Linked DNA regions of Ovis aries. The protein of the gene in region 3 binds, or shares a complex with, the protein of the main gene of each other region. Links are inferred from orthologs where the notes say so. Each region holds a gene or a part of one and is shown on either strand. Other genes may lie near its edges.

Region 1 (3,848 bases), on a different chromosome or scaffold from region 3:
GCACCACAACTACTGAGCCCGTGCTCTAGAGCCCAGGAACCACAGTGCCCACGTGCCGAGCCCACGTGCCCAAGAGCTTGTGCTCCACAACGGGAGAAGCCACAGCAATGAGAAGCCCCTGCTTGCGGCAACTAGAGAGCAGCCCTGTGAAGCAAAGAAGACATGGCACAGCTGAAAAACAATTTCCAGAGCAAAAATAATAATAATAATAATTATTATTATTAACTTAGAAACAACCTAAGACATGAATGCAAAATTCCAGAAAGGGTTTTTCCAGTGACCAGGAGGCTGTTGGTTGGCAGAGGTCTCTAGGGGTCTAAGCCTTCTCTTCCACTTTCCTTTAGGTGCAGTGGGATCTTGCTACTAAAAGACTGAATGGAACAGCCAGGATCTGAAAAACTGCAGGCTGTTTGTGTTAAAAAAAAAAAAAAAACAGAAAGGAAGAGTACAGTCTAGATTAGCCTGAGCACATTATATGCAAATGCCTTGAAAGCAAAAATGAACTTTTGGCTCCTGTAAGTTTTTCATTGTTTCTGCATGTGGAAGACCCTACAGTGAAGGCTTCCAGTGGATTTTCAGGTTTTGAAAGTAGTTTCTGGCTGAAATAACTCTCGGGAACACGCCCTAAATTTATTAACTTCTTATGTCTTTTGGCACTTGAGCTGCTTTCGAGGTATCTGGGACTCTTCTTGACATTATGCCCAACATGGAGTCAAGCGAGTGGTGAGACAGAGGACAGAGACAGAACAGGAAAGACGTGCACACGAGCTGAAGAGGAGTATAATACCACTGACTCTTCCGAACACCCAGTCCTCAGGGCAGGAGCGCTTGGCCTGAAGAAGTCGAGTATAATGCACAATGGCTGCCTCAGACATAGAACATGTAAAAGACTGAGGTTCCCGTGAGGGGTTGGGTGGCACCTATAAACATCTGCTAAAAGATTAATTTCAATTACAGGAAAGATTTGCCTCCAAACAGAAACTACTTCATAAAAACCAGGCCAACAATGTTCATGATACCTTAATATACTTACCATGATTCACTTTTATTTTATAAACTGTGTTTCCCACATGCTAAGCTTTTTCTCTGTTTTAAATCAATAATTAATGACAGTAGCTACATTTGTTGAGCTGCACTTGATAAGCAATGTCTCACTGCAACAATTCTTTTCACAGAAGAATCCAGGACCTTCTGATTCTTAGGTGAGGTGGCAGGAAACAAGGTAAGTAAAAGTGTGAGCAGGCAGTTACCACGCTGAGAACTTGGGTGCCTGGGAAAACCAGCTTCAGAATCAGACTAGGGAATGCCCCCTGAAGTCTGCAGGCCACTTCCTCTCATGGTGGTGCCATCTGCAGCCGTGGAGTGTTTGGGTGGGGAGAGCCCTGCAGACTCAGGGCACGGAGCCTGTGGCTCGTCCTGCACCAAGGTCCAGCCTGCCCAGGAGGACAGCTCCCACCACCACGTGGGCTGGGCTCTCGTGTCTTCCCAGGAATTACCTCCTGGTCAGACATGAGTGCACTGGTGCACTGTATGGCCATTTCCTCTGGGTGCAAGATCACTTCAGTAATCTCGGTTCTGGGCACCAAGGGAATATTAGGTACCAGGTGGACTGCAGTTCATTGCCTTGAATACACAATACAGATACAGCAGAGATGACATGTGGCTGAGCCAAGGGCAGTGAAGGTTGTGAGTGGGGAAGTGAGTCCTCAGCAGAGCATCTGGACACACATCCACCAGAAGGGAGCTGCCAGAGCAGTGGGGCTCATCAGATGTCCTCATGCAGCTTCCCAAGTTCCCGCCAGGGCACCTCACCCCACAGGGCCCCTGCAAGGCCCCAGGGCTTCTCTCGTGAGCAGCTTGTGGCCTCTTGGTGATGAGCCAGGTCCTGGGGTCTGCATCTCTCCCAGCATCGACTATGCTGAGAGCTCAGTAATACCTGGCATCTTCTCACTGTGATGGATCTAACCATGTAGAGAAAGCCAAAACAGTCCTCTTCCCAAGAGCAAAAGCTTATTTTTAACAGTCTTCTTGCATGTTCAGCGTGTGATAAGCCATGGTATAGTTTCCATCCCACTTTGTCATTGTTATTGTTGTACATGCTTAGTCGCTACAGTTGTGTCTGACTCTCTGTGACCCATGGACTGTAGCCTGCCAGGGTCCTCTGTTCATGGGATTCTCTAGGCAAGAATACTGGAGTGGGTTGCCATGCCCTCCTCCAGGGGATCCTCCTGACCCTGGGACTGAACCTGCATCTGCTGCAGCGCCTGCATTGCAGGCAGAATTCTTTACCACTAGGCCAATGGGGAAGCCACCCTATTGCTGTATATCCTTAGGTTTTTCCAAGAACCTGTACTCTTGCGTTTGAGACAGTAGTTTTTCCTTGATGCTCTTACTGTACACAAAATGAAAATTGTGGGGCCCACCTAAGCCAGCCTCTGTACTGAGGGCTCACTTGTGCAAACACATTTTCAGAAACAACAGAGGAGTCCTGACACCAACCTGGAGCCATGTTCAGGGCAGCTCAGAAGAGAAAATGGACAGATGGTCTTACAAGGGGACAGGAGAGCAGGTTAGTTTAGTTTTAAAAAGCAAGACTCACCTCTAAAAAATGGGAAAGTTCATTGTTGATGAGCTCCTTCAGTTCTGATTTCTTCAGCTTGTGCTTGTCACCTTCCCTCCCGGAATATTGATGGAAGACGTCAATGAGGGCCACCATGGCCTTCTCTAACTCAGACATCTGGGGCCCACAAAAAAAGATGCTTTGTAGAACAGATCAGCTGTTACCTACACCGACCTTACCATCGGGGGCAACTGGCTTTGGCTCACCTCCCCTTTTGGGCATAGAGGGTGTGGCTTTTCATCACCCCTTGAACCTGCTCCCTGCCACCCCTCCCTTCTCTGTCTTCTGTTCCCAAGCCCTCTGGCTTCTGGTTGCATTTGGGGGAAACTTCAACCAAAATACAGGGGAAGAGCAGTGAAGGGGATTGAGTCCTCCCCCATCTCTAGAAGACTCCCCACCCCGTCCTGGCAGGACTGCAAGATGAGGTGACAGTGCAGGGGAGCAAGGTTTTGAATTTTTTTTTTTTAATGTATTTATTTGGCTGTGCCGGGGTCTTAGTTGCTGCATGAAGACTCTTAGTTATGGCATGTGGGATCTAGTTCCCTGGCCAGGGATTGAACCTGGGCCCCCTGCATTGGGAGTACAGAGTCTTAGCCACTGGACCACCAGGGAAGTCCCAAGGTTTTGAATTAATTACGGTGAACAGGAGCCAAATAAGGATACAGAAGTCAATAGTATTTCTATGTTCTGTCAATAAGCAGTTAGAAAATGTAGCAGAGAACTCCTGTTTTACAGCAGCACACACGTATTTCTAAGCATAAGTTTAGCAAGAAAAGTGTAGGTCCTTCCAAAAGCTACTGAGGTCATAAAATGTAGGAACTTTCTTTCAAATGGATATATAAATTTAACTCATTTTTAACAAAAATATTTCTGACTTTTGGGGGGGCGGTGAAGAACATGACCAAAAAACAGCTAGAAAATTCAACTGAAAAAATAAATATGGTAGAATTGCCACAATTTTTTTTGAAAAAGATCAAGGAAAGGGACCTTGAATTTGAAGGTATTATACAATCATTTGATGAAGTTATTGTAGGGGAGCAAGACTTGCCACTCCAAAATGTCTCTTTGGGATGCAGATTATTTTCATCTGAAAACAATCAAGGCCCCCAAGATTCAGGAAGAAATTCCCCGAAGCTGCCTGAATCGGAATTTAGATGGAGGGCCTATTACAGGAGTGGAGCAACCACCAGAGAGAGAGGTCAGCAAGGAATGTGGGCCAGCGGTAAGG
Region 2 (5,475 bases), on a different chromosome or scaffold from region 3:
ATACCTAGATGTCAACAATATGTAGAGGACTGCATCTTAATTGGTAGATAAAGCACCCCGTGTTAGGTAGAAAAAGCTGAGTAGTGGGTTGAGTGGCTAGCCCAAGATCTTATGACCAGCATGCCAAGAATCCGCATGTCCTGACTGCCAAGCAAGTCTTGTCCTGCTATATGATGATGTATAACACACTTCATGCTGCAGGGTGCTGTCTCTTTCCATGCATGCCGTGCACAACTCATTCTGCCAAGCTAAACAGGAAGAAAATAAAAATGAGAGGTCTCTCCACTTGTGTGCCAGTCTATGACTCACTGGAGGTGAGATAACTCTAGAAATAATATCTGGCTTAGGATACACTTTTCTTCAGTGGCTTTTGCCTTCTTAATAGAATTGAGTGAATAACCAGATTTCTTGCCTAGAATCTTTTAATCAGTATGAAAATAACAATCAATTATTGAGGGACTTCTTAAATTCCAAAATAATCATCTCTTCTTTTACATTTTTTGTAAACATGTATATAACTTGGTTCAAACCCAAGCAAGCAATTTCAAAGGCAAACTGTGGACCTTCCAATCCAATAGGATCTGATGGTCAATAATCACACTGAAGTGAAGTGAAGTGGCTCAGTCGTGTGTTAATAATTAGATGGTCTAAATAATAATACTGACTGATAAGTGTTTCTATAATATTTGTATAACATAAAGGTTCAAGCCAGAAATCTCTGTCCCACTCTCACGCAGACCATTTCTTGTTAAAAGAAGAAAAGTAACTTACCAGATTCCAGAACTCATTTCAAATCATCCTGTGTTCCTATATACACTTTCCATTGTCCTCATTATGCAATTCTACTTCACTTTTCTCCTCTGAGTCTCAAGTAGAAGCAACACAAAAACACTGACCCCCACCAACAGAACTCCTTCCTCTGAGACGGGATGTTGAGTACTGTGTCTGATACTTCTCAAACTTCATGCATCCTTTTTTGGTAACAGACCAAAAAAACATCAGGAAAAAGAGCTGTTTTAATAGGATATGGATGTCCTATAATTAAGTATTGATTTCTTTTTATAGATAAGGGATTCTGTGCAAACAGTAGTATGATTGCATTAGCCCACCCACTCCTTTTGTGGAGTCAGGGAGACTGGGGGCAGTTAGAGATTATAATTTACATAGGCACTAAATTGGTTTACAAAATGCTGTCTCAATGCAATGGCATTTCCCCACAGATAAGGAGAGCTTCCAGGCAGCTTGCCTGGGCTTGGAAGGGTGAATCAGTTCTTTATATCTGTGATTGAATCTCTAAAGGGATGAGCCCAGGATAACTTTTACTTTGTGCTGTTTCTGTCACACATGGAGAAAGCCTGCCCCCTCTGCCACTGAGAAGGTAACTGCGGCCACGTGCCCACAGGCCTGCTTCCATCTTATGCTCTGCTGACCAGGCAGTCTGTCTGTGCTATTAACTGACAACCACACTCAGGGTCTAGCAACAGGCTGCAACTCTCTTCAAACATGACTAATTAGTATATGTAACAATTTCATGTTCATATCTTCCAGATTAGGGGGAAAAAACAAACACACAAAAGCAGGTTTGTCAGGGGCACACCGCAGGTCTCCTGGCAAGGATTCCAAATCAATAGTGCATTTTTCCTCCTGAGATTGCCGTTTCTGACCCATATAGGGCAATAGAGCCCCCAAGGAGCTCCATGACGCCGACACCACTCTCCCTTTCTGCTAAGTAAGCAGGTTTGTGGTAAGTGGCAAGTGACAGTTAAGAACAATTTGTCCCTAGAGTGCAGTTTCTGTTCTCAGTCAACGCAAAACAAGGGCCCTTCAGCATACTGGCCAATGCCATCTTAACTGCCTTCAAGGATTTGAGTGATGAAATTGAAAAACAGGGCAGTATGGATATGTATTTTATGATCGATTATAGATGCCCTATGAAATTCAGAGGAGAACCTGAAGAACTGTGCTTTTTCAAAAGGGCCAACTCTCCCCACAGGGCTGGTCGTGCTCACAGCATCACATGTGTTCACAGGGTTGTCAGAGTCATTCCTGCCAAGCCCTGCTCTCCACTAACTGGATGTGCTTGGTGGAACCCAGCGAGCCCTTAGTGAAATGTCAGGCGTGGGCTATAAATCTGTGCCTTTACCCTGTGAAGCCCTTTTCTTAAAGCAGAATGCTCATCAAGGTCACTGCGAAAGATTGCAGTTCTAAAGCTACAGAAGTAAGAGTCAACAGAAAATAGAGTTCATAAACACTTTAAAGCTTACGGTTCGTCCAAAAACTCTTGGCCCCCCACCACTTTGTGGATTTCAGTGACAAATGCATTTTCATAGGACTAAGAATGCTTTGGAAACCTGTTCTCCTAAAAAGGCACACTATAGCTTCTCATTTTCTGCCTTCTGGCAGATCTGGTTTGAGTAAGCAGTCTTTAGAAGGCTAGAAAGACAACACTGCATAAAAATGTGTGTATTTCTGTAGGTTAAGATCCACAAGTGTAAGCACACTCTGGATTGGGGTAGAGAGAGAGACCGAGTGTACAGTTTGGCACATTATATTCATATAAAATATAATAGACCAGATGGTGAAACCATCACTACTAGTAACTTTTTGAGTCTTGCATACTATGTAATACAAACAGGATCACTTTAAACTACATGCATAACACCAAGAGGAAAAAAAAAACTTACAAGATGCCACATTGTATTCTTTCGGGGGAAAACAGGGACACAGATTCAAAAAGATACTAGATCATCAATAAAAATATCCGACTAAAATTTTACTATATTTATATAGGCTTACACACACACACATATCATTTTTAATATTCTTGTCACCTAAAGGACTTCAGATAAGTAAAACATCCAACTACTTTACTAGGCAAGATTTTCCCAAAGATCATTACACAGGAACAACCATTTAAAAATCAAACTGTTTATCATCTTAATCCACAAGGAAAAAATAATACTGTTTTAATCTTTCTGTTAAAATCTTGCGGTGGGGGGGGGGGGTCGTCACTTGAGTTACAAACAAGCAGTAATAATAGTATTATCACTTACCGGCCGAGTAAGGAATTAGAATCTTCCAGTTTCTCTAACGCCAGGTTGGGAGTAGGTCTAGAAGCTCCTCTCGAAAAGCTATTTCCAAAACAGGTGCAGCCCGCTCGGGAGCATCCTGTTTATTTGGAGCAGCGCGGGCCTCCTCAGAGCGCTCGGACCCAGTCTGCGGAGCCCATGGTTTCCAGAGGCCGGACAACTTCGGCCTCTCTGGGCCGCCGGTGCTCCTCCGGCCCCTGTCGACAATTTTCCTGGAAGTTGCTGCCGAGTTTAATCTGCGGATCAGGTGAGCTTCTCTGAGCCCTGCGCAGGGGTCGCAGCAGGCAGAAGAAGGTCCCTTTCGGTCTGTCACGGCCGGCCAGGGGGGTGCCGGGGCATCGGAGACGAAGCCCCTTAGCTGCTCCTGGCTGGGAGCCGGGCTGCCTTCGGCGACGACGGCGGCAGCGAGGACCGTGGCGGCGCAGTGGGGTCCCGGCTGTGGCCCGGTCCAAAGACGCTGTCCATCCCCGCCGGTGCTGAAGTGCGGGCCCGAACCCCAGGCCCGGCCCCGCGCCGCACTTTTCCCCACCGGCGAACGCGATCGGTTAGCTGTTCTTTCAGGCTCGCCTCCCCCGGCGCTTCTTACGCGGCAGGGCTAACCGGCTTTCCAAGATAACGGTCTCATGTTAGTCTGGGGGCACCGCTTCCGGACAGCATCTGCCGTTGGAAGCAGAAATCCGTGGGAAATCAGTTGTGAGCCTCTCCTGACTTTTCAGTGGCCGCGAACGAGTTTCCTGATGCTAGAAATGAACGGGAGCGCACGCACACGCGCGCGCACACGCGCGCACGAGAGAAGGAGGCGGGGAGAGAGAATAAATATAGATTATGTACCGTGGAAAATCCAGCGCTTCTGTGGGTCTCTAATTACATAAGATGGAAAGGGCTATTTCGGAAGACTCCTCAATCTCCATCACCCATGGTGGGTGGGGGGCGTTTAGATTCTGAGAAGCGCCTTGTGAAATTCCCAGGTTAGACACAGCACCGAGCAGAAACGACAGGTTACTGTTCAATGAAAACACAGAAAATGAGAAAAGAAAAAGAAAGAAAGAAAAGGCCGCGATACCTTGTAAAGCGTTGCTGAACTGGCTGGAAATCCTTGCCGAGCCGCTGGGAGGGGGTCGGGCGGGACGCGGACGCGTGAGCGCGGGGCTCCGAGCCGGGGAGGCAGCGATGCGCGCCGGGCGCAGGCTCCTTCCCCGAGGCCGGGTTGGCGCGCGTCCGCAGCCCCGGGCCCTGCAGGGCAGCGGGGGAGGCGGTCTCTCAAGGACCGAACGGGGGACGATAAAGTCAGCGGGAAAGATCGGCCGTCCCCACCCTTCTAATGCCGGAACGCGGCGCAGCCGGCAGGTCCCGGCTCGGGTTTCCGCTCTTTAGCCTGCTTCTGCTCGCTGCCCCCAGGCCTCGCCGACCCCTCGCCCCCGCGGCGCGCAGACCCCACCTCTGCCCGCGGCACTGGCTCTCACAGCTGCCGACCCCCGCACCAGGAGGGGCGGCGCACGGGTCCCCGGGACGGCCACCGAGGGCTCCGCCGCCCACATTCGGCACCCGGTGCGGACGCGCGTGGGGTGAGGCGGAGGACCGAAATTCACTACGTTGGAACTGCTAGAGAGCTGATCAAAATTACGACCAAGGACTCATAGAAAAAAGGGAAAGTGTAGCTGGGGTTGAGGGTCGTACCACTGGGCACCTCTCCAGGCACTGAGATTACGAGTGTCATTTTCCGCGCCCGGAGATTGTTGGAGACCTGGGAGGGAACTCAAGAGGGAAGGACCAGGTGTGGAGTGAGGGCGCTGGAGATAAACGCGAATTTCCTGACTCGGGTCCCAGGCCCTCCTCGCGGCCCGGCGTTCAGAGTCCTCGTGCCGGATGCCGACAGCAGAGGGAGTCGTGGACGCAGCGCGGTCCTCCACGCCGGCGCGGGATATCCGAGCCAAGGGGCTGGCGCCGCGCGTCCAGGGGGCTCCCCCAGGACCTGGGGGTGGGGGACGGCGTGGGAGGCGGCAGCCAACGCGGCTCCGGTTGGTTCCCTCAAGGCTAAACGGAACTGGACCGGGGATCATCTGGGATGGAAATCAGACAGGCTCGTTATTCACCCCGGGAAGTCCACGGTTTCCTTAGACTTTGAGCCACCTCTCCGCCGCCTGGGCTCGAGCGGGTTCCCGCGAGGGCGCGTGGGGCGCTGGGGCTGGAGACGCGCGGGGGAGGCGGGTTGAGGGGGACGCGGCGACGGGCGAGGGTCCGACTCACTACAGGCCTCCAGTACCCGCTGAGCTGCGCTGGGGAGCCTGCTCGTTCGGTGGGAAGGGGCACGTCGCCCGCCCTCTATCGGGCCTTTAACCAGGGGCGCTGGTGACTGGGGCGCCGGTGGCAGGTACGGAGGGAGCTC
Region 3 (5,469 bases):
GGCACGTGCTGTCTTTGTCCATCTGCTGCCCAGCTTCTCCAGACACTGCCCCGGACGCTTTTTTTCCCAAGACAGAGTGGCTTGGGTGGGAAGGAAGGATGCTTATTGGAACCCATCTCTGACCTCTGGGGAGGGGGCGCAATGGCCTGGGGGCCCTCGGTCGCTGTGCCCATGAGTATTGCTCTCTGAGGAAGCGGGAGGAGAGAGTCTCCACCCTCTTAGGGGCCAGAAGGCCTTTCCTGTAGACTCATAGACGAGGTCTTCCATTCAGTATTCTGCAAGGTCAGTATCATTGTCCTCATTCATTCATTCAGCAAGTGTTTATTGAGCACTTACCATGCGGCAAGTACTTCTCCAACCAGCAGGGTGCCACTGTGAACAAGACAGACCTGCCCGCCTAGTACAGGTGAGGAGACCGAGGCTCGAGAAGTAATGTGACAGACACATTCAGAGCGAGTGGCTGGCAGAGCCGGCAGCAGGGGCTCTGTCTCTGTGGCTGCAGACCTGTGCTCTTTCCACCCTCTGTACAATAGTCAGTCCGGAAGGGCAGATGCGCCCTGTCTTCCCAGGACCCTGGCTTTCAAGGGGAAGGTCACCTGTGGTCCTCTCTGCACTCCTAGTGCTCTCGCTAGGGCCGCCCATTTCCCCCTAGAGACCTTGTGCATCAGCTCTTACAGGCCTGGGCGTTCCATGAGGATGGCACCCAAGCCAGACCCCGGGACTGGAGGCAGCCAGACAGGCTCCCTGAGTCCTCCAAGATACTGCCCTGTAAGCGCCCACCTCTGGGTTCACCCACCACCTCCTCCTGTCTCTCACTGGGGATTCACGTGACTCTGGGTCATAGCCCCATGTCTGTCACCTGCTAACAGAGAGGCCACAGTTAAGTCACTCAGCTCTTCTGAGCCTCATCTGAAAAATGGGAGGAATAGAACCTACTCTGGCCTCCTTGCTTGCTTTGCTGGTTTGAGGTTTCATTTGACAGGCTATGTGCCAGACCCTGAGCTGGGTGCCAAGGAGACAATACCGGACAAGCCGTGGCTCCTCCCTGAGTTAATCTGAGGTTTGCTCGGTGCTGTGAGGCCCAGAGGAGGGAGGAAAGGACTTAAGGCTGTATGGACAGAGGAGAAGACATTTAACCAGGTCCTCAAAGAAGACCAGGAGTGTGCTGGAGTGACTGGGCAGGAAAGACTTTCTTGGTAGAAGGAGCCACCGTGCGAATGCTTGGGGACAAGCTGGCCTGTTCAGGGTCTCAGCTTGTTCAGTTTAGCTCCAAAATCGGGATAGTAATAATGGTGATTGTTTGTGGACCAGTTATATGCAAGCTGTACTTTTTTTTTTTTTTTTATATTTATTTAGCTGTCCCAGGTCTTAGTTGTAGCACTTGGGATCTTTAGTTGTGGCATGTGGGATCTGACCAGGGATCCAACCTGGGCCCCCCTGCTTTGGGAGTGTAGAGTCTTGGCCCACTGGACCACCAGGGACGTCCCTGGATGTATCTATTTTATAGACACTATTTTGCTTGCTTCTTAAAGCTACCCAGTGAGGTACATTACTTTTATCCCCATTTCACAGATGAGGAAACTGAAGCTTTGAGAAATGCAGTAACCTCAGGGTTATGCAGGTGATAGAAACCAGAATTTGAACCCACAAGGTCAGATTCCAGAACCCACATTAATCACCTGTGGGAGCTGGAGATGACGGCTTTGAATGCCATACCAAGGAGCTGGGACTTTATCCCACAGGCAGTGGGAAGCCGTGGAAGAGTTTGAGGCCTGGCACCTAGAAAGTTCTCAGTAAGGAGTAAGTGAGTGACCAGGGGAGTCACTCAAATGTAATGGTTGCAGTTGAGTTTTAGGAAGGGTGAGGGCTTAGAATGGGGGAGGCTGGTGTGTAGGCCCTTGTTACCATCCAGAGTTATGTCAAGAGTCTGCAATGCTGGGTGAAGTGGAACTCCGTCTACGAAGGCCTCACGCCTCCTCCTCCCCTCAGGCCTGGTTCCACCCAGTCCTGCTCCCCAAGCTCCTGAGAGAGAACACGTATGGTGGAGCCTCAGAACGCTGGCCCCTGGGGAGGATTAGGGGCATTAAGGGGGTTCAAGGGGCAGGATGTCCAGGGACTGGCGGGGAGGGAGTGCTGCTCCAGGAGCAGGGAGATTATATAATGGGGAAAGCACAGCTGTGCCTGCTGCTGCCAACAAGACTGCAGCTGCCCTGTGGACTTGGCCCCTGGTCCAAAGTCCTGGGTCTTCCTGGTCTCTCCACACTCTTGCTGCACATGAGGGCTGGAGACCGCTCCGTTTAGCTTCCCAAGGCCCGGATGGGGTAGGTTACTCACTTCATATCACACAGGAAAGGGGTGGTATACCCAGGGTGGACAGCACCCAGCGGAGGGTGAAGTCTGGGGTCTGGAGGACTGTGCAGGGGTGAGCTGCCATGCCTGCATCTCTGTTGCCCTGGCTGGGCGCTGGGCTCCTCTTCCTCAGTCTCTTGAGCACCTCCTGGTGTCAGAGACCGGATTTTGAATCCCCGCTGAGCAGCATTGTGGCTTAGGTGCCGTCACTAGGCTTCTCTGCGCCTCAGTTTCTTTCTCTGCCAAATGGGACCCGGGCCTACCTCCCAGGTCAGGAGGGTTTAATGGTGCCACAGATGTGAGGTACCAAAGCCAGTGCCGGCGTGCAGCAGGGGCGCGGAAGAGAGCAGCTGTTAGCACCAAAAGCCTCATCTCTGCCTCCCAGGACTTCCCGTTTATTAGGAGGGGCTCCCAGGTAAAGAACCTGCCTGCCAATGCAGGAGACCTAAGAGACATGAGTTCAGTCCCTGGGTGGGAAGATTCCTGGAGAAGGGAATGGCAACCCACTCCAATACTCTTGTCTGGAGTAGCCTGGCAGGCTACAGTTCATGGGGTTGCGAAGAGTTGGACACAGTTGAAGTGACTTAGCACGCACGGCCCACGAGTCCGTAGTCCCTGCATTGTGATAAGTGGTAAAATGAAGGTTCATAGGGAGTAGCAGTGATTCTGCAAGGATGGAGAGGGGTCCCAGAGCAGGCAGGGCCAGAGCATTTCTGGGCTGGACACTCTCCCAGACTTTATGTCCTTCAGCCCTTGCATCAACTCTAGGAGGTGGATGTAAATACCCATGTTACGGATTGGGAAACTGAGGCCTCTTGAGTTGGTTAGTTGGCACACACCCACAGTCCTTTCCTTCTCACTGGGAGGAGATGGCATTTGAGCCGGACCTTCAAAGATGAGATGTTTTCTAGGCAGAGAACATGGGAGGGGTGCCCAAAGCGGGCTACCTGAGTTGGGGCGATTGCAGAAGGCTTGAGGCCTGTCCCCTCCCAGAACTCCCGCCCCCACCTCCAGGGCCCCTCTAGCCACTGGGAGCATCCAAGGGCTGGGGCGCCCCATAGGGTCTGTCTTTGCTTTGTGCCACTCTGGTAAGTTCTGACAGTGTTCCCCACTCTCTCCTCTCTTTTCCAGAATGGACAAGCCTCAGGGGAGGAAGCTGGGCTTCAGCCATCCAAGGTAAGGGCCAGGCCCTAGCACCGGAGCTAGGGATCGTCAGGGGTGGAGTGACTGTTTGCCTGGAGTGGACAAGGAAGGAGGCACTGACCTTGTCCCGCCCAGGTGTGAGGCCCCCTGGCCCAGCTCAGCCTTCCTTCTCTGAAAGTGAAAGTCACTCAGTCATATCCCACTCTTTGCAACCCCGTGGACTATACAGTCCATGGGATTCTCCAGGCCAGAATACTAGAGTGGGTAGCCGTTCCCTTCTCCAAGGGATCTCCCCAACCCAGGGATTGAACTGCGTGTTGAAGGTGGATTCTTTACCATCTGAGCCACCAGGGAAGCCCAAGTCCTTCTCTGGGCCCACCTAATGCTCGAGGCAGCCCCGTATGTCAGGATTACTTGCTTCAGCCTTCCGGTTCCTCAGGGGAGTGGACTATGGCCCAGACAGGGTCAGAAGCCAGGCTAGAACTCAGGTTTACCCGTCCCCCAGACCAGGACGCTTCCTCTGCTTATTTACTCGTGGTGGCTTGGCTGACTGTATTAAGAGGGTGAAGGGGTGATGGGAGAGGCTTAAGTCCACTGGGCCTGACGAGGGCATGGCACCTGGTGCTGGAGGGAGCCTGGTGGCCTCCAGTCACACCAGGGCCCAGTGCCTGGCGTGGGGCACACAGGCCGTTTCTCAGGCCCCCTCCCAGGCCGGCTCCCTCAGCTCTACGCTCTCTGCTCCCCTTGGGTCTATCCCTTCAGCCCCCAGGGCCTGTTGCTGGTTTTGTGTGTTGACAGCACTATGAGGCTGGGGGACAGTCTGGCCTGGGCTTTCTCATCGCCGTGCTGGGAATGGCCTCACCCAGTTCTCAAGGCGTTGTGAGGTCGCAGAGCTGCTGGCTGGGGAGGGGCTGTGGAAGCCACCAGGCAGGACAGGGCCTGAGTTCTGGCGGTAGAGCCTACCTGAGTTCTGGTCCTGCCTCCACCATCGCCATTTGACCTGAAGCTTCTCCCTTCTGAGTCTGGTTTCCTCAGCAGTAAAATGGGAATAATGGTACCTGCCTCCTACCTCTCAGGAGTGACGTGAAGAACAGATAGAAGAGCAGCTGCCTGGCACACAGTAGCTTTAGTCCTGGCAGCCTGAGTGCCTGGCCGTGTTGCTCAGCTCCATTGCCTGTTAGTGGCCGCGCCCTTCTGGCCTGGGTCTGCTTAGGTACCAGACCATAAGCCTGACCTTTGAGATAGACTGAGGGCTGGTCCTGATGTTTGTCTTGACTCAGCCTCCTAAGATAAGGGAGCCGAGTTTCCTGGGGTAGGGCAGGCCAACAGAAGTAGGCTCCCACCCCTCCTCTTTTTGTTACTATGGCAACCTTGGGTCACCAAAGGCCAGGCCGAGTCATGTGGACTGAGCCCCTTGACTTGTCTCAGCCCCATGTCTCAGCCTCCTGTGGGAGAATCTCTTCCCACCAAGTAGCTGCTCCTGGTTGCCTAGTAATGAAGGGACTGTAGGTCTCCAGTGAAGGTCCAGATGTTCAGATCTTGGGGCTGTAGTTCTAGGGGTTGCAAAGGTGCCTGCAGCTTTGAGGGAACTGGTGGTGAGTACAGCTTCTCACCTCAGAGCTAGAGGGGCTGGTTAAGAGAAGACAAGCACTTACCCAGGTGGACAAACTACTCTTGATCCCAAGTCTGTGATTCCTTCCTGCTTCTGGAGCAGATCCTGGGGTGGGAAGGGAGATGAAGCTGGACGTGGATGGGGCAGGGAGAGCCTTGAATGCTACGTTAAGGGAGAGAAAGTGCCATACCAGGAGCTTTGCATTTGGTTCTCATAACATCCCCAGAGGTAGAAACTGTTACTCTCCCCATTTTACAGATGAGAAAGTTGAGGCCCTAGGTCAGATCGCTAATGGGCAATGAAGTCAGGTCTTGCTTGACCACAGAACCCACATTCCTCCCAGCCCAGGAGACACACTGAGTGCT
Region 4 (4,964 bases), on a different chromosome or scaffold from region 3:
TGATGTTACAAGTTGAATGATCTGTATGAGTACAAAGATGGTAGGCTCGCTGCCAAAAGCCACAAGTACCAGTTTTTAACCATGGCTAGTTGGAGTTATACTTAAATTAACTAAGAGTCAGTTTGGCTTTGATTCTGACTGCTTTTAACAGTTGTTTGCTTGTTGTGACTAATGGGGTCTCAAGAGGGCGGGTGGGGACAGGAGCCAAGGTCCTTGATACCAAACTGTTGCTCTCGTTTCTCTTCCTGGCAGACCCCAGCAGCGACGGGAACGGCCCCCCCACCGGTCCACAAGGTGTTCCGGAAATGAGGGCTGGGCCCCCTGACCGCCGACAGCATCCATCATTGGAGTCCAGTTACCCACCCGATCTTCACAAATCATCACCACATGGGGAAAAGCGGGCACACATGAGAGATCCCAAAGGCAGCAGAGAGTATAGCAGACAACCCAATGAACATCACACATGGAACGGAACTTCTAGAAAACCCGACAGTGGGGCTTGCCGACCCAAGGACCGGGCACCCGAGGGACGAAGAGACGCCCAACCCGAGCGGATGGTGACCAATGGCCCCAAGAGGAGGTCTCTGGAGAAGCGGAGGGAAGGCACGCGCAGCGCTGACAACACTTTGGAGAGAAGGGAGAAGCAGGAGAAGAGGAAGGAGGTTTCCCCGGAGTGGAGGCGAGAGCGGTCCCCGACCCGCCGGAGGGACGGCTCTCCAGGCCGGCGGCGGCGGTCTCTGGAGAGACTCTTGGATCAGAGAAGATCGCCCGAGCGCAAGAGAGGAAGCTCGCCCGAAAGGAGAGCCAAATCCACCGACCGGAGGCGGACCAAGTCCCCCGAGCGCAGGAGAGAGCGGTCCCTGGAGAAAAGGAACAAAGAGGACAGAGGCAGCCACCGGGAGAGGGACGAGACGAGTCTAAGACAGGACGCCGGCCGGAGTTCCAGACATCCCCCGGAGCAGCGGAGAAGACCTTACAAAGAATGCAGCACCGACCTCAGTATCTGAGAGCCTGCGTCACATTCCCAGCCTTTACCATGTCAAAGGTTCGAAGAGGAAGCTCACAAACCTGAAATCATTTAGTTTCTTACCTAATGAAACATCTGACGTCAGCCTGATGATCCTCTGACTAGCGACATTTGATGCATTTGAAATCTTATAAGAAAAAAATATATATATGAAAAGTGGTGTGCCTGATGTATCATATTAAAGAAAGTATTTTTAAATGCATACTTTTTTGGGAAATTATTTGCTAAATGCTTCCCCCAAGGGATATAAATTTTGTTTCTACATAAACTGTAGAATTGTTAAGAATTGTTCCCTTTGGGGGTGGGGGTGATCATTTTCTCTCCTGGTTAATTGGGGCTGTTGATCATTTTCTCTAAGTAAGGAAAATTATTGATCAAATTTAATTAATTTGATGGAGACTGTTATGTACTGATGTAGTGTTGTAGTGTAGTTAGGTGTGTTTTTTTTTTATAAAAGCAAAAAGGCAAAAGTTATATTTGTAAAAGCTAAGGACTCCTTGGAATAAATGAGGATTACTGATGATCCTAAAGTTAAGCAAACTGTATGAAGAGACTACTGTTGCAAATGAAGGATATTTATAGCTAAAGGACACAGCACAAAGCACAAAGAAATGTTATGTTCTCAAGTTATTCTCCATTCAGAACACAGTTTGTACTCTCCCTGGCTATAGAAAGGTGCAGAGAGGAGAAGGTTGGTCACCGTTACCTAAATGCAGCCCACGCACAGATGGTCAGGTATTAGCATCACCAACATTGAATGAGAATCTCATTAAGGCAGTGCCATGAAAGTTTTGCTCAACTGCTAGAAGGAATGCACAGCAAACACCTTTGGTGTTGTCTTGCCTGATTTAAGACTGAAGAGTAAATGGCATGGGAGACTTGGTGGCGGTGTGAGGAGCCCTAAGAATCACTAGTATAGAAAGTTTCCCTTTTTATCATGAGCCTGTGGTTGCCCTTTGCCAAATTGGGGAGGAGGGAGTAAGCCTTGGTAGAAGGAACTTCTCTGTTGATATTTAAAGACATGAGGGTTGGGCATGCTCATTCTTAGAAATGCCAGTTTTCTTTGGAACCGTAATAAAAATCTCCAAAATGGTTGAAAGAGAGAGAAGAATTCTATTTCATTGGTTCTAGATCTGGTTGACAAACATCTGCACTTATGACCCTGTCCTTTTAATCTTTGGGCAGAACAAAATATAGAAATTTTTCTTTAATAGAAGACATTCTTTTGCTATCTCACAGGAGGTTGGTTGGGTCGGCTATAGCCCCGGGTTGTGGTTGAAATGAATTACTGCCTAGCTGAGCCAAAACCTTTGCTTGTACCTGTTGGACCACTACAACAAATCGCTGCTTATGATGCATTGCATATTTCCGTAGTACTGTTTTGCATTTTCCATACAGACACCAAACTTTGCAAGTCAATCACTGTTGTTCTCATGGTACTGTTTAAAAAAAAAAAAAAGGATAAAGAAAAAAAATGGAGAAAACCAGCCAATTATCTTGTGTACAGAGTTAAAAATTGTAATTAATAGAGCCTGTTTTAAAAACAAACAACTGTTGCCTTTTTTTCTTGTATAAAAGAGAATTTATGACAAAAAAATTAGCTGTGAGGAATGTGACATGTGTTTATATTTCTGAATATGGAACAAATTGATTCATTGGGATATATTTTACTGTAAACTAAATCAGGTATGTAAAGCTGTTTTAAAAATGGGAGACTATATAAGTAATTCTCTAAAGCTTTAGTTGGTTTGAATATCATCATTTCCTCCATGGTGAGCCTGCTTGTGAATTATTAAGCACTTGTTTGCATTTCTGTTCTTCATTCATTTCTTGCAGTGTGCTGTGGACTTAATGCTCTTTCTGTATTGATGAAAAGCAGTATGTGGGCCAATCTTTTTATAAAACACTATGCATATATAAATATTACATTGTTCATAGCTTTATTTGACTTATGGGTTTATACAACATTACAATGAGTAGCTGTCCTTCTGTGGATATGCACAAACCAAGTTCATTTCCTGGAACAGACACAATGTACATTCTATAGCTAAAAAAGAGGAAAAAGTCTGAGACTGCTATTTTTATCTTCAGAGTTTTCCATACAGAGCATATATTGAGCTACAGTAGTATGGTGAGGGAGAACGCAACTGAATAATGATGTTCTTTTTTCATCAATTTCCTAAGAGCCAACTGGGGATTTTATTCCTAAGGCTCCATTGCTAGGAGTTCTCTCACCCATTCTAGCCAAATCCATGATGTTTAATGATCGATGCTCTCAGTTGTGGTCCAGAGTTTTAAATAAATGAAATCAAGAGGTGGATTTTTGGAGTGGATCGTGAAATTAACATCTCAGTGTCTTTCTTGTTGTCAGAGATGTTTGACATGTTAAAATCTATGTGCTACCCACCTGGGCTTGGCTTTATCCGTGAAGACTTTTAGTGTGGCAGTGCCATCTGAGTTTCATACTTTGAAAATATCATACTTTACAGGGACTATACATTAAGCAGAAAGATAGAGTTTTTCTCTGAACTACTGTAACCTTAAATTGGAGACTGATTCTTTTGAGCCTACTTTCCCTAGTTCCCCACTTCATGTAAATGTCTTGATGAGAGATGATATGAATGAGTATTTTGTATGATTAAATCAAACCCTTTAGGAACTCCCCTCCCACCCATGAGACAGTTGATGCCTGAAAGAATGTTGCGGGGAGGACTTAACACCCTACTTGTATTTTTTAAGTTTCTTTTGTGAAAGATTTTTTAATGCATTTTTACTGTAAAAATACATGGAAATGTATGCATTCCATAACCACGATTGCTTCTGGATTGATATCTTTCTTGTCTCTGTGTTGTCTCAAGTATATCAGGGTCACGTCACCAAGTAAGAGTGTCTGGCTCCCAATGCAATGAACTATCATACCATTTTGTTCAAAGGGAAGAGATGATGGTCTTTCAGTAATATAGTGCCTTGATACTCAAAATCCAGCCTGTAGACCAACTGCCATCTCATCACTGGAGAGCATATTAGAAATGCAAAGTTTCAAGCCCCACTCTTGACCTGCTGAGTCAGAATGTGCCTTTAGCAAGATCACCATCTGATATGAATACACATGAAAGTTTGAGCTGCATGGTGTTGCACGGAACCCTGGTGATAAAGCACAGCCTGCTATGCCTCCTAACAGTGTAATACTGGGCCAGTTCCTTAACCTCTTTTAAAGAATCAGTTTCCTCATCTTTGAAAGGGCAGATGTCATAGAGTTGGTGAAAGGAAATGCAAAGTGATTAGCACACCTCTGGCAATCAGAAAAATTCTCAGTGAATAACACTAAACTTTTTTTTTTTTTTTGAGGAGAATTTTCTGCATTCCAATCAGTATTCTACTCCTTTTTATTGTCCTGGTTTATTTTCCAATCAAAACGAAGAAGTATTTTCTCGATTAAAATGGGGAAGAAGACCTTCTATTTTAATTGTAAAGTTAGCAAACAATGTGGTTCATACTACTTCACAAGTATAAAAATTACAGTGACCAGTGTTTTAAAATAGGAATCCAAAATGCCATGCTGTGAAAGTTAAGATGAAAATAGCCTCAAAACTTATCTTTTGGTGATAGAGATGTATGTGAAGTTAGACATACTTTTAACTCGATGAAAAAGCTAACCAGTCAGTGAGTGACTCTGCATGTATTCTGGTTGACATGTAGTTTGTAATCCTTTCCAATTTGCTTACAGTTTTGGCATTGTTCCTTCATATGACTTAGGAGTTAGGATTTTCCTACAGAACCTGAGTTCCTAGGCACTCAAAAAGTATCATCTGTGATAGTATATTGCTTTATTTTGTCACCAACATGGTGATTATAGACACTGCTCACTTCCCAAAACTCTGTTTTGCTAAAGATGGTATCCAGATTGGTCCTTGGCTTAACTGACAATGGAAACTAT
Region 5 (4,484 bases), on a different chromosome or scaffold from region 3:
AAAAAGTACAAAATCCAGACCTGGATCAGGTGTCTGACTCCAAATCGGCCTCTCCATCCCTGAGGCGATGTTCATCCAGAGCAAACACTGGAAGGATGCTGGCTCAGCTCTGGGCTGGCACTGGCGGGTGGGGGAGGGGCAGGGGGCGGGAGGGTGAGAGCCTCTCCTGGGGACTCCCTCAGGGGAGGATTTTCTGATGTGCTGACTCTGCAGGAGATGCCCCTGGGATTCACTGGTGTGAGCAAGATCTCCACCCGTAAGTTACCACCCCTCTGAGACTCTGCAGTAAAGCCCTCTCCTGGAGAACATGAGAGATGTCTGGGGCCAGTGACCCAGGCTTCAATCCCAGGTTTGGGATTACGATTCCTACTCACTGTCCCTTCACCCCAGGCTACTCTCCTACATGCAGGTTGTTGGTCCAAGTGTGGGTCTGCCCCTTTATGTGTCTTACATGACGTCTATGTGTGTGTGAGAGAGAGAGAGCTGTATTGTTTATACATGATGTAGTGATGGTACTTAAACTGAGGAGTTAGCCCATGGTTTGGAAAACGGACAGAAACCACACCCGGAGGAGGTTGAATGTAAGCCTGAGGACACTGGACTCCGAGGTGGAGAGCTTTTTCGAAGGGCCCTTGTCACCATCAGTCTTGGAAGTGAGACGTTTCAATCCTGGCTGGAAGGGTGTAATGCATCTTCAACTGTGGCTGTGAGAATGGACTCATGACAGGGTGTCCTGGTAACTAGATATCTAGGAGGTGGGCTGGGTTGGTAAGTGATGGATGGCACTGGTCGTGTGGCCATGCCCACCACCCTGGGTAAAGGGGGGCATCTTTGGCCCATTCCAGCACCTTTCTATGCCTGCACCCACAGCCTCATGGCATCAGGCAGCAAAGCCTGAATTGGCTGCCTCTGGAGAGAGGTCAAGGCTGATGTGGGGCCAAGACTAGGGGTGAGATGAGGTGGAAGACACGGGACAGCAGAGACCACACAGTAGGAAGAGGACGTACGAGATAGAAAAAGCAGGCGTGAGAGGAGCCCAGGGCAAAGGCAGCAGCGGTCAGTCCCTGGGCTGCCGTGGGTGCTGACAGTTTTCCGGGCTGTCCCAGTCTATGTGAAAACCTACAGGAGACCTCGCTCGTGAATCTGACTCTTGCAGTGCGAAGAAGCTAAGTGACACGGGACCCTACCCACAGCTTCTGCTTGTCACCTGTGAGGTGTCTTCCTCCTCCTTGGGGCCATGGCTTATTTTTTTTTTTTTTTTAAGATTCTTAATTAGTTGCTTTAGTTTTCGTTTTTTTAAATGACTCAGATTGCTATCCTCTTTTAAGCCTCACTCTATTACTCTTGCTACATACTGAATTCTTCTATTGAAGACTATCACTTAATCCTTATAGCAGAAACCTAGAAACCGGAGTTGCTTTCCACTTCTTTAATTCTCCATAAGGCATCACTATTATAATATCATACATGAATATGTACGTATATATATGTGTGTGTGCGTGTGTGTATATATATATATATGTTTGTTTTAAAAAGTAGAAATGTTCTTCTCAATCATCTTTGTTTGATACAAAGTAGGTGCCCAAGTAGGTATTAATAGTTAGAAATTAAATAAAAGGCCACAAAAACTTCCCAAGGAAGATCATTAAAGAGAAAAATCCTTTTTTCCTCTTATTACAGCTGGCCTTTGATGCATGCCAGGTAAGAAAAAAAGGAATACTGCAGGGTGATGGGAAGACTGGACCTTTCCCATTTTTTGGGTTGTAGCTGAACTTCTATTGGCGGTTCTAGTAAAATATATAACTCTTCGTTTGTTCTAGGCAAGTCCTTCTTTCGGGTTTCCTTCAGACACTGCCTTTACTCTCCCATGAGAAAATGAGGATTCAGAGATTTCAAATAGCAAGATTCTGGTTGGGTAGCAGTCTCTTGAAATCATGAGCTGGCTATGTAGAGGGAAAAGTTATGGAAGACTGGCAGGAGAGGGTGAGAGAAAAAGAGAAATGTATCTTCTTCTTTGGGAGCACAGGAAGAAAGCAAGTTTTTCAAAGTCGTTGCCGGTATCTCATGAAGGCCCAGGCTGCTACCATGGTGAGGGCAAACACTGGCACCAGCACCATAGTTATGGGAATACCACTTGGCTCCCCTTCGCCTTGAGGTCCTATGGGCCCATTCTGCACCTGTAACCTGTGCTGCACTCTCAGGGACACAGCATAGCCTGCATTACGGAAGGGGTCCACAGCATCCTGGTGCAGCAGGTTCTTTAGGTCTTGGCCGTTGACCGAGAGGATCTTATCACCCTCCTGGAGCCGCCCATCCAGGGCTGCAGCCCCGTTCTCTTTGATGCGGCTGACGAAGATGCCACTGTTGTCGGAGACATACTGCTGATCTGTCCCACCGACGATGTTGAAGCCCAGCCCTGACGGTCCTCTGGTGAGATTGATCTCTTCCTCGGTAATCAAGTAATCCACTCTTCCGTTCATATTTTAATCTCTGGCTTCCCGACCGGGGTCAGCGAGGATCGGTGCAGGTTGAAGGTGAGAAGCACTACCGGCAGCAGCCACAACACCGCACTTTCGGCCATGGCTTATTCATCTCTCTAACCAGAGCATCTGGCCCTGTGCAGGGAAACCTGTCGGTGCCTATTAATGTTTGAATAAATAGCTGCATTTATCACAACAGTCCTTGGCCCAGCCTTCGTCCAGAGGTTGTGGAATGAGCAGCAGTGCAGATTTTAGAGCCGGTACCCATATCAGCCATGTGCAAGGAGGTGAGCTGTGCCAATGAGATTCTTTCTGGGCGACTGAAGTCTAAAATGAGCAATGAAAAGGCATTACCAGGAGGAGCTGAGGTTTCAAGGGTGTGTGGGGAAATGGAAAAGCTGTGTGGACCCTCAATGTAAGGTTATGAAGGACCTTACAGGACGAGAAAGGAGACCCCAAAATGGTGAATGTGAAACGGTTCTGTGGCCTGTAAAACGAACACAGGTGTCCATGATCAATAAAGCTGACTGTAAGTCTCAGGCGTCGTTGCCAATCTACTTGTGTGACTATAAGAGGGAGAAGAACCTTTGTGTTCTTCTACAAGTTAATCACTAACGGGATGTTGCCTCTAAGCTTAAATTACCCATAATGGACCATCTCTGGGACACTTGTCACCCAGGTAATGAACACTAAGCTAAAATACCTTCGTTTAGCTCACGAGGAAGCATCTTCCTGACCAGGCCCATCTGTGAAAGACTGAAGGCAGGAGGAAATCCCTCCTGGAGTCTGGCCAGAACCAGGGCCTTACTCCCTCCTCTTTCAGTGTTAAAAGAAGCCTGGATTCTAACTCAAGGAAGATGGTTCATAAGGACACAAGTCTGCCATCTTCTCAGGCTGCCATTCCTTACCCCAACAACTTGTCACTTGATTTATTGACCTATTATATGGCAAAGCAGTATGAGCAGCCAGTCTTGCTGCTCATGGCCAGCCAGCTCTGGTTGGGGGATTTTGGGGGTAAGGCCCTAGCAGCTGCCCGGACCACTCGTCCTGAGGATCTTCCCCTTAAAATTCCCTGAAGCTTCTCTGGCTGTCCCAGCTCTTAGCGGGTGGAGCAAGGAATCAACATCTCATGCAGTAGGTAAGTCACTCCATGTAACAACTGGAGATCTTATTTCTTCTCCATTTAGGGCTTCTTTCCTTTAGAATAAGACAATTTGTATTTGAGTGGAGCGTGTGTGTGTGCTCAGTCGTGTCTGAGCGATGCCATGGACTGTAGAGCCCACTTTGTAGAGCCCACTATAGGCTCCTCTTGTCCATGGAATTTTTCAGGCAAGAATGCTGGAGTGGGTTGCCATTTCCTACTCCAGGGGATCTTCCCGACCCAGGGACCGAACACTCGTCTCTTGCATCTCCTGCATTGGCAGGCAGACTCTTTACCACTAGCGCCACCTGGGAAGCACATTTGAGTAGGGCACCATGTTGGAAAGAGGATAAGAGGACATAGTTGATGGACTTTTATGCAATTTGTGTGAATTGGTTTGTTTATTTGGATGCTGACATTTGTGTGTGCTGTTTGTCTGTCTTGTATTTATGTCTTGAAGAAAAATGGGGAATGGGGAGTTCCATGGTGATCTAGTGGTTAGGATTTGATACTTTCACTGCTGTGGCCCAGTTCAGTCCCTTGTTGAGGAGCTGAAATCCTGAAAGCCATGTAGTGTGGCCAAAAAAAAAAAAAAGGGAAATATTTCAACTATGCCTGAAGAAAGTCCTCAGAGGCGTATTTTGGATAAGTGGTCTGATTACAGCTATGAAACCATGACTAAGAAGTTGAAAATGTATGGCCCCAGTACCTGCTAGGATCTCCTCAAGGGGTTCATTATGTGGGGTTATCCTGGGACCCTGTGTACCATGTACTGCTGTCTTTGCTTTGTTAATTATATCACGTGTGGTCTCCCGTGTCATTGGTATCTGTTAAACCCCAAGACCAGACTTGAGGGTTTATTT
Region 6 (4,964 bases), about 240 Mb from region 3:
TGTGCACGTGCCTGTGTGCGTGTATGTGTGTACGTGTCTGCGTGTATGTGTGCACATGTCTGCGTGTGTGTCCACATGTAGGTGTGCATGTGTCTGCGTGTAGGTGTGCATGTGTCTGTGCGTATGTGTGCACGTGTCCACTTGTATCTGTGTGCACGTGTCTGCATGCGTGTATGTGTGCACGTTTCTATGTGTATGTGTGCACGTGTCTGTGTATGTGTGCACGTGAATGTTTGCATGTATGTGTGCACGTGTGCACGTGTATATGTGTGCACGTGTCTGCATGTATGTGTGTACGTGTCTGCGTGTATGTGTGCATGTGTCTGCATATGTGTGTTCACGTGTCTGTGTATATGTGCTCCTGTGTGCTCGTGCACACAGTGCTGCAGGCATCCAGGCACATGCGTGCACATGTGTGCACATGTTTGCATGCGCGTGTGCTGCTTCTGCGTTCAGGCAGCTCCCACAGCGAGCTGACAGCCGGGCTCAGCCCCTGCTCTAACCCTGCCATCCAGGCAGGGAGCAGGCGGCTGGGCATGCAAGTGTCGAACTCAGCCCTTGCTCTAACCCTGCTCCAGGCAGGGAGCTGGCATCCGGGCTCAGCCGCTGCTCTAACCCTGCCGCCCAGCACACAAGTGTCAGACTCAGCCCCTGCTCTAACCCTGCCATCCAGGCAGGGAGCCAGCGGCCGGGCTCAGCCCCTGCTCTAACTCTGTTGCCCAGGCAGGGAGCTGGCAGCCAGCATGCAAGTGTCAGGCTCAGCCCCTACTCTAACCCTGCCATCCAGGCAGGGACCTGGTGGCCAGCGCGTGAGTGTCAGGCTCAGCCCCTGCTCTAACCCCGCCGTCCAGGTACTCTCCTCTGCAATTCATTCATCCTAAGGACCTAGGTTTTTATTAAACTCCTTTAATGTTTCATTGAGGCTGAAATACTGAGTTTAAATATGATCTGCAGCTTAGTCTAATTACCAGCTTCTGAATGTTTTAATACCTTGATCTTTTCCTTAATTAGGTAAAACTCTCAGGAAGCCGAGCGGGTCTGCACTGAGCTGTCAGACTACAAAGAACTAGGTTCCTGAACTTGAGGAAACACTCCTTCTCTCACGAGCCTCACTCTCGGGAATGCTGCATCTCTCACAAGGGTGATGCTTTCAATCAATGTATGAGTGTGAACGTCGCCTGCGCGGCCTCCGTAAATCTCCTCTGGAAATCGCACTTCTTCATGGAGCCACCCGCGTTACCCTCTCATGGCACACACAGCGGATGTTCATCAGAAAATGTCGTGAGACAGCAGAGGGCCTTCTGAAGAGCAGCGGCCGCCCTGGGCTCTTAGCTCTCCCAGAGCATTATCTAATGGCCCGACGCCTGAAGCAGTGAAGAAGTGAAGTCGCTCAGTCGTGTCCGACTCCTTGAGATCCAACGGACTGTAGCCTACAAGGCTCCTCTGTCCATGGAATTTTCCAGGCAAGAATACTGGAGAGGGTTGCCATTTCCTTCTCCAGGGGATCTTCCCCACTCAGGGATCGAACCCAGGTCTCTCGCATCGCAGGCAGACGCTTTACCCTCTGAGCCACCAGGGAAGCCCGAGGAGGGCTCTAAAGTCCTCTGTAACTAAGAGCAGAGCTTCCACTGCTGCGGGAACCCACACTTTGCTGCTGCTCAGCCCCTCAGTCGGGGCCAGTTCCTTGCACACCCGTGGGCTGCAGCACGCCAGGCGTCCCTGTCCACCACCAAGTCCCGAAGCGTGCTCAAACTCACGCCCATCGAGTGGGTGATGCCATCAAACCCCCTCATCCTCTGTCATCCCCTTCTCCTGCTGTCCCCAATTCCTCCCAGCATCAGGATCTTTTCTAATCAGTCAGCTCTTCGCATCAGGTGGCCAAAGTACTTTCAGCTTCAACATCAGGCTTTTCAATGAATATTCAGGACTGATTTCCTTTAAGATTGACTGGTTGGATCTCCTTGCAGTCCAAGGGACTCTCAAGAGTCTTCTCCAGCACCACAGTTCATAAGTGTGAATTCTTCAGCACTTAACCTTCTTTACAGTTCAAATCTCATATCTGTACATGACTACTGGAAAAACCATAGCTTTGACAAGACAGACATTTGTTGACAAAGTGACATCTCTGCTTTTTAATGTGCTGTCTAGGTTGGTCACAGCTTTTCTTCCAAGGAGCAAGCGTCTTTTAATTTCATGGCTACAGTCACTGTCCACAGTGAATACAAACTGTATTTCAAAGGAAGCCTTAACCACTGTCTTTCCCAAAGAATTAAACGTGGAAACTGAGCAAAGCTATACTTGAAAGAGATGACTGTTAAATAAATGATGAATGCCTAATGTAAATGAATATCCTGTGTAATTTTCCTCTGAAAATGTCCCAAACAAATACAACTAAACGTAACACTCTCCAGGAATAACCGTGCACAGGACAGTTTCCTATGTCTTGTTCTCCGAGAACTCACATCAGGGCACAACCACTTTCTGGTTCTCATAATACGAAGGCTCGCACGTCTGGGGTGGAGACAGGCCCACCAGGGGTCAGGTGTGGGTCTTCCACTCGGGGGCTTCGTAACCCAGCTCTGCTCCGAGCCGCAGCGCTGCTGGGGGCTGTGGTGTAAGCGCTCCCAAGGCACTGACGACAGGCTGGCAGAGTTCAGAAAATTCCCTGAGTGGCTCCTTGTGGGGAGGTGTGGCAACATGGGCCAGGCCCGCGCAGCCGGGTGGAGGCAGCAGGGGTGCCCTGCACACCCTCAGCAGCCTGCGTTGCACCAAAGGCCGTGGGGGAAGGACAGCGTCCGGTCAGCTCCCAGTCAGCTCCGGGCCTCTCCCACCCAGCGGTTGGCAGAGCAGCCTCAGGGCGGCCAGGGCCGTGTCCCCAGGCCAGGTGATGCTGGGCTCTGACCTGGATGGGGGTGGGTGCACCTCCCCTCTCTCCACATTACTTGTTATGTCCAGATCCTTTGAATTCACAGAGCAGTGTGTCCTTAGTATCGCAGGTAAGTCATCACATAGTGCAATTTGCATAACTCTTCCCTTAAAAGCTGACTTCTGTATGTTTAACCGTGGATTTCCTGCTAATATTTACTAAGAAACTTGTGCTTTTTGGTGGAATCAAGTAATGGGTTTCAATGACTACAGTTTTAGGATATTAAGGCCTCTAACAGGAGACACACCCTGGGTTCCCATGACACCCTGGCTGACTCCGAGGAGGGTTCACACTTGCATTCCGGTGATTCCACATGCCAGGGGAACGGCACGCCCAGCCCCGGACACCCGGTTCACTCAGGCGAGGCTGCACCGTGGACGAGTCCCTACCTTCATCTCGATCTGCTTGGTGTCCAGACTCTGAAACAGCAGCTTCACCCGAGCTTTCCCGTCGTCGGAAGACCCCTTCAGCTGGCAGAACTTAAACCTCCAGAGCACACTCTGTGAAGGAAGGCAGTCCTTAGTGCTCTAGACCCAGGAGCACGTTTATTCAGTTAACATCAGCCAGTGTTGTTAAATAACCTGAGCAAATGCAGACGCCTGCTGGGTTACCTGTGTGCAGAGATGCCTGCTGGGTTACCTTGGTACACAGATTTCTGCTTGGTTTCCTGTGTCACACACGCCTGCTGGGTTATCCGTGTGCACAGACGCCTGCTCGGTTACCTGTGTCACTGACGCCTGCTCGGTTATCTGTGTCACACATGCCTGCTGGGTTACCTGTGTGCACAGATGCCTGTTGGGTTATCTGTGTACACACACGCCTGCTCAGTTATCTGTGTCACACACGCCTGCTGGGTTACCTGTGTGCACAGATGCCTGTTGGGTTACCTGTGTACACACACACCTGCTCAGTTATCTGTGTACACACACACCTGCTGGGTTACCTATGTCGCTGAGCAAACTGCTCTGAGAACATCACTCAATGTCGGGTCAGATTTGACTAGGAAAAGGAAAAACTCAGCGGTGGAAACTTTCTAGGAACCACCTGCAGAATCGTGATCTACACAGAATCATGAAAGACCGCCAAGGCTCGCGCGTGAAAGTGGACACTCCCCGCTCATCAGCTAAAGGGTCCACAGTGGTCCTTAGAAGGAAGTCCTTGTTATTTATTGGGCATGGATGTCACGGTCACACTGACTGGCTCCTGTTGGCTGATGTGGTGGCAGCCCCGTCCGGCTCTGGACCTGTGAGGTGCTGGGGCCCTGAGCTCTCAGAGAGAGGGTCACCACGAAGGAGCCCGTGCAGAGGACACGGCCGTAGGGCTGGTGGTGCCGCAGCCGTGGACGGGCATCACAGCCCTGAAATGTAACGCATGCTCTGCCCACCGGCACCGCCCCTGGCTGCTCGGCACATACCTTGGTCTTGCTGTCGAAACAGGTGAATCCGAGAGCGAAGTCCACCGTGAAGCACAGAGTGTCCCCTTGCCCGCCGCACGCGTACGTTTTGGACTAGGAAAAAGGATCAATTGTGAGAAAATATCTTTTTAAAATGAAGCTTCACATTGATCGGGTGGCTACAGTATCCTCTGCAGAAGGAAACGGCAGCCCACTCCAGTACCCTTGCCTGGAAAATCTCAGGGAGACAGGAGCCTGGTGGGCTCAGTCCATGGGGTCGCCAAGTCGGGCACGCCTGAGTGACGGATGCCTACACTCACACTATTTGCCCCCATCCAAACCTGCTTTTAGAAGAGTGAAGCGCTCGGAGGTCCCTGGGACACGGCTCTCACGGCGCCTCCCGCGCGGGTCCGCCGGCAGGTGCAGAAGCCACACCGTCAGCAGAGGTGCCGGTCTTAGCAAAGTGGAGCCCGACGCGTCCTCCGGAGACACCCTAACCCCAGACCACAGCTCCCCGTGATGCCATTTGTCCCCATCACGTGAATGAGCATGCACGCTCTGCTCCTACAGGCCAGCCTGCAAGTGCGTCCCGAGACATGAGGCCCGGCTGCGCTTGGGAGACGTTCCGAGGGGTCTGACCCAGAA

Evidence for each region.
Region 1: the proteins of RPS6KA1 (region 3) and S100B are in contact, whole or in part, in a crystal structure (PDB 5CSJ), measured with the Homo sapiens proteins. The link is inferred for Ovis aries from reciprocal best matches to the Homo sapiens genes RPS6KA1 and S100B. Residues at the interface, in NP_002944.2 of Homo sapiens: Ala697, Met698, Ala699, Ala700, Thr701, Ser703; in NP_006263.1 of Homo sapiens: Ser42, His43, Phe44, Leu45, Glu46, Ile48, Val53, Val57, Ala84.
Region 2: the proteins of RPS6KA1 (region 3) and SNTG1 are in contact, whole or in part, in a crystal structure (PDB 7PC8), measured with the Homo sapiens proteins. The link is inferred for Ovis aries from reciprocal best matches to the Homo sapiens genes RPS6KA1 and SNTG1. Residues at the interface, in NP_002944.2 of Homo sapiens: Arg728, Lys729, Leu730, Pro731, Thr733, Thr734, Leu735; in NP_001274742.1 of Homo sapiens: Gly67, Phe68, Gly69, Leu70, Ser71, Ile72, Lys73, Gly74, His78, Ile80, Ser85, His118, Glu119, Val122, Leu125, Arg126, Arg141.
Region 4: the proteins of RPS6KA1 (region 3) and MAGI1 are in contact, whole or in part, in a crystal structure (PDB 5N7F), measured with the Homo sapiens proteins. The link is inferred for Ovis aries from reciprocal best matches to the Homo sapiens genes RPS6KA1 and MAGI1. Residues at the interface, in NP_002944.2 of Homo sapiens: Pro731, Ser732, Thr733, Thr734, Leu735; in NP_001028229.1 of Homo sapiens: Arg480, Gly481, Phe482, Gly483, Phe484, Thr485, Val486, Val487, Gly488, Asp490, Lys499, Ser500, His532, Val536, Phe539, Gln540.
Region 5: the proteins of RPS6KA1 (region 3) and synaptojanin-2-binding protein are in contact, whole or in part, in a crystal structure (PDB 7P74), measured with the Homo sapiens proteins. The link is inferred for Ovis aries from reciprocal best matches to the Homo sapiens genes RPS6KA1 and SYNJ2BP. Residues at the interface, in NP_002944.2 of Homo sapiens: Pro731, Ser732, Thr733, Thr734, Leu735; in NP_060843.2 of Homo sapiens: Arg18, Gly22, Leu23, Gly24, Phe25, Asn26, Ile27, Val28, Gln33, Ser45, Arg46, His78, Val82, Phe85, Arg86.
Region 6: the proteins of RPS6KA1 (region 3) and SNTG2 are in contact, whole or in part, in a crystal structure (PDB 7QQL), measured with the Homo sapiens proteins. The link is inferred for Ovis aries from reciprocal best matches to the Homo sapiens genes RPS6KA1 and SNTG2. Residues at the interface, in NP_002944.2 of Homo sapiens: Pro731, Ser732, Thr733, Thr734, Leu735; in NP_061841.2 of Homo sapiens: Gly82, Gly83, Leu84, Gly85, Leu86, Ser87, Ile88, Lys89, Gly90, His94, Ser101, Lys102, Phe104, His134, Val138, Leu141, Arg142.

Annotation. Positions count from the first base shown.
Region 1 is NC_056054.1:267,004,727-267,008,574, forward strand, and holds part of S100B (protein S100-B), read right to left. Parts: intron 3,233-3,848; exon of another isoform or gene 3,160-3,232; intron 2,738-3,159; coding exon 2,600-2,737; intron 1-2,599. UniProt on the Homo sapiens protein: Small zinc- and- and calcium-binding protein that is highly expressed in astrocytes and constitutes one of the most abundant soluble proteins in brain.
Region 2 is NC_056062.1:33,294,397-33,299,871, reverse strand, and holds the start of SNTG1 (gamma-1-syntrophin), read right to left. Parts: upstream 3,842-5,475; 5' UTR 3,054-3,841; intron 1-3,053. UniProt on the Homo sapiens protein: Adapter protein that binds to and probably organizes the subcellular localization of a variety of proteins. May link various receptors to the actin cytoskeleton and the dystrophin glycoprotein complex.
Region 3 is NC_056055.1:240,329,798-240,335,266, reverse strand, and holds the start of RPS6KA1 (ribosomal protein S6 kinase alpha-1), read left to right. Parts: upstream 1-2,090; 5' UTR 2,091-2,105; coding exon 2,106-2,321; intron 2,322-3,480; coding exon 3,481-3,525; intron 3,526-5,469. UniProt on the Homo sapiens protein: Serine/threonine-protein kinase that acts downstream of ERK (MAPK1/ERK2 and MAPK3/ERK1) signaling and mediates mitogenic and stress-induced activation of the transcription factors CREB1, ETV1/ER81 and NR4A1/NUR77, regulates translation through RPS6 and EIF4B phosphorylation, and mediates cellular proliferation, survival, and differentiation by modulating mTOR signaling and repressing pro-apoptotic function of BAD and DAPK1.
Region 4 is NC_056072.1:36,150,491-36,155,454, forward strand, and holds the end of MAGI1 (membrane-associated guanylate kinase, WW and PDZ domain-containing protein 1), read left to right. Parts: intron 1-252; coding exon 253-1,007; 3' UTR 1,008-3,841; downstream 3,842-4,964. UniProt on the Homo sapiens protein: Plays a role in coupling actin fibers to cell junctions in endothelial cells, via its interaction with AMOTL2 and CDH5. May regulate acid-induced ASIC3 currents by modulating its expression at the cell surface.
Region 5 is NC_056064.1:26,356,225-26,360,708, forward strand, and holds synaptojanin-2-binding protein, read right to left. Parts: upstream 2,576-4,484; 5' UTR 2,481-2,575; coding exon 2,043-2,480; 3' UTR 1,415-2,042; downstream 1-1,414. UniProt on the Homo sapiens protein: Regulates endocytosis of activin type 2 receptor kinases through the Ral/RALBP1-dependent pathway and may be involved in suppression of activin-induced signal transduction.
Region 6 is NC_056055.1:751,725-756,688, reverse strand, and holds part of SNTG2 (gamma-2-syntrophin), read right to left. Parts: intron 4,434-4,964; coding exon 4,341-4,433; intron 3,427-4,340; coding exon 3,316-3,426; intron 1-3,315. UniProt on the Homo sapiens protein: Adapter protein that binds to and probably organizes the subcellular localization of a variety of proteins. May link various receptors to the actin cytoskeleton and the dystrophin glycoprotein complex.